Regions from separate parts of the Mus musculus genome. Here all the other regions are reported to be linked to region 2. Evidence: microRNA targets listed by miRTarBase, many of them from high-throughput screens and not tested one by one. Region 2 holds a microRNA gene; each other region holds the end of a gene's coding sequence.

Region 1 (3,140 bases), not on the chromosome of region 2:
CTAAAGAGACCCACCTGCCTGTCTCCCCAACTGCTGAGATTAAAGATGTGTGCCACCACCTCCTGTCTTTTTGCCTTTCTTAATCATCCCTGCATTTATTTTGTCAGGTTATAATTTTGTCACATCAAGCTCCTCTGAAATATGTTTTTTTGTTGTTGTTTTGTTTTGTATTTTTGTTTTAGGACAAGGTCTCCACTCTCTCACTCAGGCTGGCCTAGAACTGTGTACCAGCTTTAAGTACCATGCTTCAAAGCCGCTGATTCTCCTGTCTCTGGGGCTTAACACTATACTTAGGTTTTTGTCATTTGGTTGGTTTTTTTTTTTTTTTTTCCTTTTAAAAAAAAGTTATCTCACAGCTTGGGGGTTAAGTGGCTTAAGTGGCCCTTCTGCACTGGCCCCAAGTAGCTAAGGCCACATGTGTATGCAGCTGTGCTACGCAAATCTATGATGCTATGAAAACAGCATCACCAAGCCTGAGTCTGAGGCAGGAGGCAAATGAGGAATACAGGTGTTAGCCTGGACTACACGCCCTCCTGGGCTATCAATCACATCTATGACACATCTGGACACCTCAGTTTACCCACAGCACAGCTTTACACGCCCTCCTGGGCTATCAATCACATCTATGACACATCTGGACACCTCAGTTTACCCACAGCACAGCTTTACAGCTATTTCTTCAGCCCGAGAACTCCCTTGGCTTGGAGTTTAAGGTACACACCATCCTATCTGCAGCTCTCAGCAAGGCTCTTTACCCATCCTGACCTGGTTCCATCGTGTGAAAACTTACAGGGAACTGTTAGATACAATTAATAGATCTTTTCAAACAGCTTGTCATTTCTATTTCAGAGTTTCACTTCTAAAGTAGTCCAATTGTGAAATGAAACATCCTTCAAACAATACCTCCTCTAGTTAATGACTAGTTCTTCAGTCAGTTTAGACTCAACCTAATGTAAACACTGAATCCAAAGGTTAGTAATGAGTACCTAGGAAACTTGGTACCATGATTTTAGGGGCTCTTTTGCATGGTTAGTGGGTAGGGGCAGCCATCAGCTACAGTGTATCTGTGGAGGTCAGAAGACAATTTGCAGGACTCTGCTCTTGCTTGCTGCCATGTGGATCCCAGGGATTAAACTCAGGTCACCAGGCTCAGTGACAAGCACTTTCACCAGCTGAGCCAGCCCACCATGCTCTTTCTACTCCTGTTTCACCTCAGCCTCCTTACTGTTCTGCCTGGATGCAATGTACAAGTCATGCCAGGCTCTGGATGCTCCCCAGTACCAGAGAGGTCTGTTAACATAAAACCACAAATCCAAACATGTTCTCACCTGAGCCCACACCTACTCCACAGCAGAAATGGGCCATGAAAATGATCTCAAGACAAAAGCAGATGTGCTGAACAGAAGGAATGGTGACTGCACACAGCAGCAAAGGACAGAGGAATGGTGAGAAAAGAAGCACTCTTACACATCACACAACAAACACTGACTTTGGAGTAAATACATTTATTGATACCCATTTTACATATAGTTCAATGAAATAATCTATAAATATAAAAGCATTTTTCCTTTGGATATCACCGTGGTCCATGTAAATTCGCAACAGTCAGTCATCTGCAGGAAGTGCTCCAAGTCTCACTGCTAGGTTACAGACCTGAGTACATTTCACTCACCAGCTGCACTGACGCACTCAAGGGGCCCAGTGGCTTTGGAATGTGACTACTGGGCATGTGTAGTAAAGAAAATGTGAAAGCCTAAATCAGTGGGAAGGGTATCAGCCATGAACAACAGGGAACAATTATGAATTCATATCTCAGGCAAAGCAAAGTAGCACAGCTGACACTTGGTGTCAGACAACCGACCGCAGAGTGTGTGAAGTTGCACACGCTGCAGCTGCACCACCGCATGCTTCCGCCAATCCCCAGAGGACGGTTCGCAGGAGCCCTTAGGGTCATCTGTGGTCAAAAACAATTCGTAAAGAGCCTACATAGCATAGAATAAAAGCCATGGCATCGAGATTAAAGAAAAGTGAGCTAAGTACTTCAGTGACATAATGAGTTTGTCCCTTCACTGGGGGGACTGTGGGGAAGTCTTTCTGTCTTAAATTCCCTTTGTTGCATTGTGCATGGTCATGATCAGGCGAGGAGAGCACGGCCCTCTGCTACCTGAACCACAGCTGTGGAAAATCACTTCTGTTTCAAAGTTTTTCCAACACATCCAGAGATCTGATGCTGCCCTTGCTGAGCCTGGCTCTCCCCGATGCCGCACAAAAACTTCCTCTTCTCTTCAGAAACATCCTTCGCTTGGTCTTCTGAATCAGCAAGGTAATGCACTTCCAAGGTCTTAGAGGTACAGTGAGATCTGAACTCTGAAAGGCAGTGTTAGAACGTAAGCAAAGCAAGTCTTTCGACACTACTCAAGTGAAGGCCTAGGGAAGCATATAAAACTCAGTTTCCTACTGTTTTAGGCTGGGACTGACAGCAACATTCACTGGTAAAGATGGCTAACTGGTTATCATCTCCAGGTCCAAAATATCCCAGCTATTTAAAGTAGGGCTCAAGAGAGAAGAAAAGACACACTGAGTTCTGAGGTCTCTGCAATTCTTTTGCGATGTACTTAGAGAGTAGCTTCAGTTGCACACAGCCGGCTGAGGGGCTCTCGTCAGCAGAGAAACTCCACCGTCGTCATCGTCTCCAGACTCCATAGGCAGCAGCGCTCATGTCCTGCAGTGCATGGCATCTGACCCTGGAGGGAGGACTAAGCCAGCACTGAGCCTCCGCTGCTGAGACTCAGACTAGATGGCATTCCGAGGCGTGCCGTTATGTGCCAAGGCTTTCAGACTTGGAGCACTGGTCTGATGACTGCAGCTTCTGTGAGAAGTCACACCCACCTCAAACACCTCATGGATAGCTTTTCGGAAACAGTGGAAGTTGTAGTCTATCAACCCTACAAGAGAGAGAAAGAGCCTGTCTATTTAAATGCCAACTGTGAAGCTCCCCTCTCTCCGAAACTCTTCACACTGCAATCAATCACTGTAAAGCCAAGAATCCAGCAGCTAACACTGTTACCTCTAGGACAGACGTGAACAGTGAGAACTGGTAATCTAACAAATCAAGTGGGAAGATGAATGTGTTAAATCCT
Region 2 (3,166 bases):
GCTCTTTGTTGCTGTTGCTCTCCCTTTTGCAAGGGAATATAAAAAGCAGACAAGAAAAAGTGGTGGGGTGGACAGCCAAGGGACACAATGAGCTGATGGATGATATAATTCCCAAACTGTAAACAACTTGTTTTATGACCTTTTGGAAGTCTTTCCCTAAACATCAGACTTCATTTTCTCATTTATAATCTTGAATGGGTAAAACTAGATGACTTATAAGGGCATTTTAATATCATTAATTCTTTACTGCTTATGAGAAAAGGCAACCAAGTTAGACAAAGCCGGCTAAGGCCACAAGAAATTACTGTTTCAATTCTGTTAAATAAATTATCTATCTTTTCCCCTGTTAGTATCTATCTTATATGTTTAATTTTAAAGCACATTTTAGTCACTTTTATTTATGTACAGGGGATCAAATACAGAGTATTGTACAAGTTAGGTAAGTGTTCTGCTACTGAGTTTTATCTCTAGATCTTGATTGTTTACTTTTTTGTTTGAGAAAGGGTAGTATTATATAGCCCAAATTGACTTTAAATCTGAGGTTCTCCTATCTCTGTCTATGAAAGCTTGTATGCACACATGTACTATCATACCTGGCTATAGCCACAATTTTTGAGTATTTGTTAGGTAACAAACACTAAATTAATGGCTTTATATGCATTATTACATATTCTTGCCATGATTTCATGGGCATTTTTGTGGCTATGGAAGAAGTAGGTTTCAGGGACATAAACTCATTTATTTAAGGTGTTCAGCTAGTTAATGGTAGAGGTAGAATTCAAATCCAGTTTTAAAAATCAACATCTAGGTACATAACCAGGGTAAACAGAGCATACAAGAAGTTGATAGGAGGAAGGAACACATAAATTGTCCCCGAGGACAGAATGATGACAATTTTTTCCTGTTTCAGCTGAATAGAAGAGTTAATTGAGGCTTGGGCCACCAGAATCTCCAGACAAACACCCAGGATCCCCGTTTTTGTTTGGAGCATTAGCGTGTTTTGTTCACTTCCCTCTTTTGGTGTGTCTTAGTCAGTCATGTTAGTGTCTGCCATTTGTCTCACACTTAGGGTAAGATATAATCACCCTATTTTTTTCTCTTTCCAGTTGCACATCTTCCAGCATGTTCTTGCTGCCCAGTGGAGGTTCCTGATCTGGCCATCTGCAGTGTCACGCTCCGTGTATTTGACAAGCTGAGTTGGACACTCTGTGTGGTAGAGTGTCAGTTTGTCAAATACCCCAAGTGTGGCTCATGCCTATCAGCTCCAGGTCCAGGACAGAGCACATAGCCTGCTGCCTACATATGAATGCTTATGAAACATGAAGCTCTCTGGTGTTATTCTATGTCTTTAAGGGAACTATAACATTTATTCAGAGAACATCAGAGTAGGAACGATGCAGCTCTGGGGTCTACAAGTCTGGTATGCATCTGTGTACATTGTGAAAATGCCATGGACTGCATAGTGGTACATGAGGGATACAGGGAATGAGAGTATTATTTGATTTATTATTAATGTCTTCTTTCACTTTCCTCTTCTTGCAGCCAGAATAGCAGAATTTTCATACAAGCATCATGAATTCTATGAGAAAGTAGGAAATAAATATCCACTGTCTGGCCTTCGGAGCACATCTTAAGCTACCTACATTTTCTCTTTTCCACTTTGCTTTTATCATTCTTAAAAGAACCTTCTTGTTTATCTTCATTGGGCTTTCAGACACTACCAAATTCCAATTCCTCTTGGCACTATTGAAAGTTAACCTATACTTTTCTTTACTCCTTGGCTAACCACATACTGGTATGTGCTATTATATGTCCTACCATCCAACACATCTTCTAAAGTTGTCAGTGAATTTTTCCAGGGTATGTTCTTGAATTCCCTATTATATTGTAAGAATCTAGAGCTTATTATATTCAGTTGATTGCTGTCTCTCATACCATTGTCCAACATTTTAATTATTAATAAATATTTACCAATTAATTGATGTTTTACTAGTCAATAACCTTTTGCTATATAGGTCAAATACCAACCAGGGTTTTGCGAAAAAAATAAATCAAACTGTGGGTATTCTAATGCTATAGTGTATACAAGATGGTAACCAAAATGGATTTTTTTTTCCTCTGAGAAATAAGATTTAGGTCTGGGGCAGGAGGGCAAGAAGAAAGAATAGACTCAGAGGGAAAAATTTTTTGAATTATTGGTTTACACGTGTCTTTTTAAACAGAATTTTCTGAGCCTTTAATATTCTATCATTGCACTGGGGTGAACTTCTAATATAGAACTATAAAATGAAGCATCTCCAATCCCTCTCTCCAGAGTCTAACATTTCATAACATATATTTTGGCAAGCTTCTTTAGAGAAATTCCATACTCTCCCTTGGTTCTGGAGAAATTCCATACTCTCCCTTGGTTCTGGAGATACCTACTTTCATTCTTTAACTTTTCACCCACTAACCAGTGACCTAAATAACAAGACCCATATTGTTACCCCAATTTTGCTCAGAATTGTCGGAGGGATGCATCTCTATCTAGGGATGACTTACTGGCTTACCCTGCATGGAAAAATACCATTGTTTAGGGACAAAGACCATCTTCAGAAGATGTCTGCAGCAAAGTACACACACTGCTAAAAATCCACAGGTCTAACCTCCAGTCTTTGTTCTGCCATTGACTTGATGTATGTTACTTTTGACAAACCTTCATTTCTCTCTGGGCTTCACTTCCCAATTTGTGGTATGTGAATGTTCAGATAAGTAATCTGTAAACATTTTCACATGCAAGAATAGGAGACATTCCTGGTGGTTCCAGTGTTGGGGGTTCCCTGAATTTGTGGCTCACTTTACTAGGGCAATTTCAATAAACATTCTCTCTTCAAGCCCAGGGATTAATTCTAAAGAGCAGAATGAGATAAAGGGTGTTTTCAAGGCTTTCAGGGCTGGACTCACAGATGTTTCATGAAGGAAGCTGAGGTTTCTACTGGGTGGTACCCAGGTTGTGGAGGCTGGTAAGTGAGATGGAGAAGAAGAAGTCATCTCTGACACTAATTATGCATAGCTAGCATTTGTCAAAGAAGAAAATGCTGAGATTTTGGTCATAGACTTGGCAGCATCAGTGGGGGTAAAATAGGGCAGACTGTCAATCACTTTTGTGTACTATTTTGACTTTTGC
Region 3 (3,166 bases), not on the chromosome of region 2:
AACCGGGTCCTTCTACGGCAAAGCTTTTTATTGCTTACTTCTCAGGAAGACCCTGAACCCGGAAAATGGAGCTGCTTAAATACCCCTCCGTGTGACGCGTCAGCTCCTGATTAGCTGCTCACTCATCACCCCACTGCTACACCCCGAGATGGGCAGTGACTTGGCACGAATTTACTCCAGCACCCGTGCACATTGCTTGTTTACTAGTTAGGCACTGCAGAAGCCAGCGCCATCTTGTAATGGCGATTGTTCACGGCTCTCCACATAGGTAGTTTTTGCAGGAGCTGGAAATGTCTTTTCTGTTCTACAGCATCCACACCCACATAGACAGCACACATCCTCCATGACCTCGACCAACAACAGTACAGCTGTCAAGGCAGCGTCTTCTGCTTCTCAGATTATGAGATTCTCGAATAAAAGCACTGTAGCGTTTTTTTGCACAATCAGCGAGTGAGTGCTTTGTTGCATTCTACTTAACAGAATCACATCTACGGGGCTATTTGTCATACTGAGTGTAAAAGGTATCAATTCACTGAGAAACACTGGCCAACTAAAATGTGTTTGACTTTCAAAGGTTACATTTTAACAAATTTAAAAAAAAAAGCAGTTAGAAAAAAAAACTCTCTCCATCTTTATTTTAAGGTAATTTGCGTGGATTTCTGCAAGGAAACAGGAAATGAGACTAATCATGTATTTAGTTCAGCAGCAGCATTTTGACTTCAGATGCAATAAATTTATATTACTAAATTCATGGTATCTGTCAATAAATAATCCTTGAATATCTAATCTTCAGGCACATGGAAAATTCCACAAAATTTACCCAGTAAATATTTGATTCCATTTAGACTGTTCTAAACATTTTCTGAAACCAAAATTTTCTGGTTTCTTCTCTGAAACTACCTTGACTTACAAAATGAAATTCTGAGGAAGGTGACTATAAACACCTAAAAATTTAGCAGCTAAAAGTCAGTAAAAAATGTTAACCCCATTTTTACACAGAGAAAAACACGTTAAGAGATTAACCATAAAATACAGAATGTGATCAACAGCATTTATTTTCCCTTTTGAGGAACTGAAGAGTTGACAGCATTACTCCAAAGACACAGACTGGTAGGGACAGCTGCTACTGACACCTTACTTCATGCTTTTCCACGACCATATTAAGCTTCCACTCTGATCAGTCACAGTCCAAACACCCTCTGCAACATTTAACATGTAACATCAGTGTTAGTTTGCATGCATTCTAGGTTGGGCAACACCTGCAGGCACTGCACTTCAGTGTTTGTAAACTTGAGCATAGCCATGAAGAAATAAAATGCTAACTGCTGCATGAGTGACCAGTGAACTATACATCACTTTATTACAGAGTCTAATCCACCATGGGAACACATCAACTTCATTTTATTAAGCTGATTAACAAGTTTCATTTGTTGAAATATAGTGTCTCCTCCTCCTCCTTCGTAACACATAAGGGCAAATTTCCTATGAGGTTTGTACTTTAATTCAGTACTTATCCAAGCAAGTTTAAATAAAGAGTACCAAGAATGTCTCATTTTTATCTTCAGGGTAGCTTATTTGGAGAATAAAACTTTACATACACACACACACACACACACACACACACACACACACACGCACACATACAAAAAAAGGAAAGAAAAAAGAAAGATTGCAGTGATTATTTATGGTGAGCAAGAGGCACAAATCCCCAGAACTTTCATTTTGTTCCCTCTCAGATAAGTTCTTTGAGAAATGAAAGACAGGTGGGGCTCCTTAACGTAAGTGTGGAAACGGTCATGGCTGCCATGATTGTTAGGCTCTTTAAAAGTAGCTAAAATCATCTGATGATCCAAACATCACAAGCAAAGGACAAATTTCAAGTTTCTGACACTGCAATGCTGGACAGGATGCAGGTAAAAAAGCTATTTTCTGGCATTTTGATGTCTTATACTTGATGTTCCAGCAGAAAGTGTCTACCTTCATTTGATGCAATAAGCTGGTCTATGAAAACTGGCAGGGAAGAAGGAAATTCCAAGTTACATGTACACACAGACACAAATGGCTCCATATAATAAATATATACAGCAATTAAAATGGTTAAATACAATTTAAACCCTTCAGCCACTGCTTACACAGTGCCAAAGCTAATCACCAGTTCTTTTCAACGGTGACATACTCTATTTGCTTAAAGGTAAAATCCCAGCACTATCCACTGCTTTAATAATTAACACAGTGACCTGAATCCAAGTTAAACAAACATAACAAATAGTAAGGTCAGTAAAACAGATTCAAGTCATTGCAATTTCATTTTATACTTGATACATTTTTTGTTTCTCCCCAGGATCAATTTTACTTCAGCATGAGTGTTATACTAAAATGTAACTTTACATTTTAAATTTAAAGTATTACCTTTATTGAGTTTTCAATTTTGGAAAGGTTTGACCCAGTATTATATATCTATATATCTATATATCTATGCCTTAAGAAAAATAAAAAGTCAGAATAATTAGCATGAGGTTTTCCACCAGTGGTAATTCCCAGCCTATTTCTTTCCGCGCAGTATTTTTACTTTTATTACTTGAAATGTCATAGCAAATTATCCAACATCTTTTGGTTCAGCCAATCATAGAACCTAAATCTCAAATGCTATTCTGAAGAAGTGTGGAGTAAATCATTTTGGTAATCTGTAAGATGGTTGCATGCAGTGTATACTGTATTATAACAGCACCAAACCCTTTATAGAAACCAAACACTCCTTCCTCCTGCTTTATGGTATTTATACAGTCTCTCATTCCCTCATACTGCGTATTAATTGGAAGTACTTCGTAGCCAAGGTCTGTGTTGTCAATAATTGTGCGTGTTCCTTGAATATGAAGACGATGCAGAACTGTTTCCAGTGGGTAAAGTATAACGTCAGAACAAAGGCTGGCAGCAAAGTTCGCAATAAGTTCTGGAAAATAGGCATCCAACATATTCTGCATGGGGCTAGTGCTCTCAGCTAGGTGGCTGTTATAGGTCTTTCTCTTCAGAATTAGAAGGACAATCTTCTGAATGATGGAGCTGATAATGTAATGAAGAACTCCATGCAGCACTGTTGGGAAGATCAATGAAAACAGTGGAAGAAGGCGTTTGCTGTGAGGCACTCCCAAGCCTATCACTCGTCCAA
Region 4 (3,166 bases), not on the chromosome of region 2:
GTATAGCAAAGAGTATATAGAAAATGGGACCTCCGATATCATGTGGCATGATGGACATGCTACATCATCTTCAAATATGAAGCAATTATAAAGAAAAAAGGACCCAAAAGTTGGACCAGAGAATACAACAATTCAACACATGGTAGAGATTTTCCTATAATAAGATAACGAAAGTTCAGCATGTGGCTGTATAGCTCAGGGGTGGAGGGTAGAGGGCCCGCCTAGCAATTAAATATAAGTTTCATCCCTAGAGCCCAGCACATTTGAGCCTCTTTCTGGGAAGGGGAGTGTGAATTTAATTCTCATCTGCTGTCCCTGGCAGGTCTGGCACCTTCCACGCTCTGTAGTTTCCTTTCTTCTTCGTCGGGGGTCGCAGGAGTCGGAGCTGAGAGGAGACCCAGGCCCACCACTGTGACAACAGGGCACACTGGAAGCAAGTGACCCGGCTCTGGAGGTGGAACCCAGGGGGCAGGGCCGGGGAAGGAGAAGCCCCTGGCCGGAGCAGCTCCTGCATCAGAAACCCCACCCACCCTGCATGGTGCACCTGCATAGGACTGGAAGATAGAAGGTTTTTTATGGCCATATTTTATACTGCAATTCTGATGTGTTCATTTCTCACAAACTGTACTGACTGACTCAAGGGGAGCTGGCGTCACGGGATCTGGTGCTGTATATAAGAATCTTGCAAAGCTCTAACTGAATGGACCTTCTTGCTCCCCTCCCCCAACTCCACCACTTCCGCTCTCTCAGTGTAGGCAGCCGTCTAGGGTGTATTTTTTTCATGGAAAAAAAAATCAAGGTTTCAACTGGATTATTTAAATATTGGTACATGTTGTGCATTAGGAATTATTTTTTTTCTTTTGAGATGTGTCCTTTTGATCTCTGTTAGTTACATGACCTCTATCATTTGCTCTTTAATATTAGTTTTACGTTAACCTTTAAGAGATTTTTTTCCCCTCCCAGAAGGGTTAAAGGGTATTTTTTACGAATTCTAAGAGGATCAAGAATCTGTGTCCACTTCTAAGAGTGCACTTGTTACTTGTGTTCCATTGCTCCCAGTCCCTTCTTCCAGAGGTCACCCCAACAGCTGTGCCGGGCTGGCTTCTCGCAGGGTGGCTTTTGGCAGGGAACCAGCAGAAACCGTACAGGCAGCTTCCCCTGAGAACTGCTTACCAACCACAGAAGATAGAAGCTTGTTTCCTCCACTCTGAACTTCAGGCTCCACATTACAGGTGAACCGCACTCCGGGAACGGGATTCCCCACAGTGCCAAGAGTTAGGAGCCTCCCTTGAAGAAGGGACGGACGGACTGCCATCTTGTTTTTTAAATGAACCACACGCAGCCCTCAATTCTCATGGGGGATGATAGATGAAACTCTGTTCTCAGCTATGCACTTTTAAAACGAATCTCTTTATCTATTTTAATTTTTTAAAATTCATTTCTAATAGTACCCTTCAAATGGCCTATACCACACACTTTCTCCCCAACATTTTTACCCTGTTCTCTCATGAGCATTACCCGAGAGAGGGGACAGAAATGACCTTGAAGAAGAAACCTTTTATTTTAGGTGGAAAGGAAAATCGCATCAAATGAGCAGAATACTGCCCATCCCAGAGATGGCTAACTCAGCAAGATCCAGCTGGTTGGTGCACAAGCCTTCCCTTACATCGGAGGAATCTAAAACTGACGGGACCTGTGGTAGTCAGGCTATTGTGCATCCTGGTTTAACAGGGACTGAAGGATTTTCCAGGAAGTGGAACTTGAAGGCTAAAGTCAGGAATGTCCATCTCATTGACCCACATGCACAGAGGGTAGATATGGAGGAAGAGCAGGCCCAAGCATAGTCCAGGGCAAACATTCTCCACGGAGGCTCTTGGAGAGCAAGGCAGGTCGTTCAAAGGCAGTTTTGCCAACGGTTCCCTTCAGCTCTCATGTCTGTCTAAAGCCTGAGCCTCATCTGCAGTCAACTGTAGCCTGCCAAGATGGACTGTGACAGGTCTCCCTCATGACTCAGGGGCTGTCATCTCAGGCTGTTGTCCTCATGCCCTTTTTATGTACTTGCCAGCCATAGAAATTCCTGCTGGACGAGTAAGTCATTCTTGTCACCCCTACACTTTGCTCCCAGCCCTCTCCCATGCGTGTACATACACACACACACACACACACACACACACACACACACACACTGTCACTAGACAGGCAACTCTGCAAAGGACACTGTACAAGATATATAAGAGCGATTTCAAACTCAGACATCTGGTATACCCTGTTCTCATGTGTATCAAATAAATACAGACCAGGTAAAGAGAAAGCCCTAGTACAGGTACCTTGCAATCAACCATGCTTGGTTCAACCTTGACACATCAGGTCTCCATGTACTTGTATAAGGCAGTGATGGCCAGTGCCAGCCCAGTAGTAGGCAAGATTGAACATGCTGTCAGGAAGCCCGTGCATGACATCATTTCCTACTGTTTCAAGAAGGGTGAAAATAAATGCCACTGGAAAGAGTCTTCTAAGAGTCATCGTGGTCGAAAGCTAAAGTTTCGCTTCCACTTGATAGTATTATAAAATAATATATGAGAACACAGAATGGACTTAGTCTTAAGACCTGGAAGTGGGGGTGACAAAGTCTTAGCTCCCCCACTCTTCTCAGAGTCTGGAGACGTAAGCGGAGAAGTGCAGGACCAGTGTAATGAATGAACATACCAGTGTGCTTGGCAGCACCGTGTGGCCATACAGGCCCCCCTCTCAGACTGGGTTGCTAACACCAGTCTCTCCCCACACCTCCATTATATTGCCTTTTCACATTTGCTAGGCAAGTGGGCATGCATATCCTTACTTGGTTATGAAATATTGAAATACTTCCAGGAGAGTCTCTCCCTCTGCTTCCTGCCTGTCCTCCCCCCAAGGTCCTGCCCTTTACCTATACTTGAGGCAGAAAGAGCAGCTAATACTCATCCAAGACCAACCGTGAGTGGACGCTCTCACTACGTCTCCACAGAGCCAACAGCTTCTCATTCTAAAGCAAGGGATCCCTAGAGTTTGGAGCTTCATGTTGGGGTTAGGAAGTGACAGAGGCAGTGGGAGGCTAGAGGGGCAGGGAATGCCACAGAATCCCTGAGGGCATGGAGACTAGAGTGACTGAGATAACAATCCCAGTGTTGTA

The links. Region 2 holds the annotated microRNA mmu-miR-223-3p (UGUCAGUUUGUCAAAUACCCCA, at 1,220-1,241, shown strand). A microRNA usually pairs through its seed, bases 2 to 8, with sites in the 3' UTR of a target mRNA and lowers its output. Matches are read on the target gene's strand: a 7mer-m8 pairs with bases 2 to 8, a 7mer-A1 pairs with bases 2 to 7 and ends in A, and an 8mer does both.
Region 1: miRTarBase lists Rragc as a target of mmu-miR-223-3p. The part of its 3' UTR that is shown has no 7-base or 8-base seed match.
Region 3: miRTarBase lists Slc25a46 as a target of mmu-miR-223-3p. The part of its 3' UTR that is shown has no 7-base or 8-base seed match.
Region 4: the mRNA of Camk1d is a reported target of mmu-miR-223-3p. Seed matches in the 3' UTR shown: 7mer-m8 at 1,682-1,688.

Annotation. Positions count from the first base shown.
Region 1 is chr4:123,935,343-123,938,482 of GRCm38, reverse strand. It overlaps Rragc (Ras-related GTP binding C), which reads right to left. Exons shown (of 7, transcript NM_017475.2): 7 at 1,486-2,945. The coding sequence ends at 2,794. Among named protein-coding and RNA genes, the nearest start is that of Rragc, 19 kb to the right of the region's middle.
Region 2 is chrX:96,241,665-96,244,830 of GRCm38, forward strand. Mir223 (microRNA 223) reads left to right here and starts at 1,153; the gene lies at 1,153-1,262. It overlaps F630028O10Rik (RIKEN cDNA F630028O10 gene), which reads left to right. Exons shown (of 3, transcript NR_030718.1): 3 at 1-1,978.
Region 3 is chr18:31,580,552-31,583,717 of GRCm38, forward strand. Slc25a46 (solute carrier family 25, member 46) reads right to left here. Exons shown (of 8, transcript NM_026165.4): 8 at 1-3,166. The coding sequence ends at 2,640. Among named protein-coding and RNA genes, the nearest start is that of Gm38606, 11 kb to the left of the region's middle.
Region 4 is chr2:5,296,258-5,299,423 of GRCm38, reverse strand. Camk1d (calcium/calmodulin-dependent protein kinase ID) reads left to right here. Exons shown (of 11, transcript NM_177343.4): 11 at 323-3,166. The coding sequence ends at 441. Among named protein-coding and RNA genes, the nearest start is that of Gm36906, 17 kb to the left of the region's middle.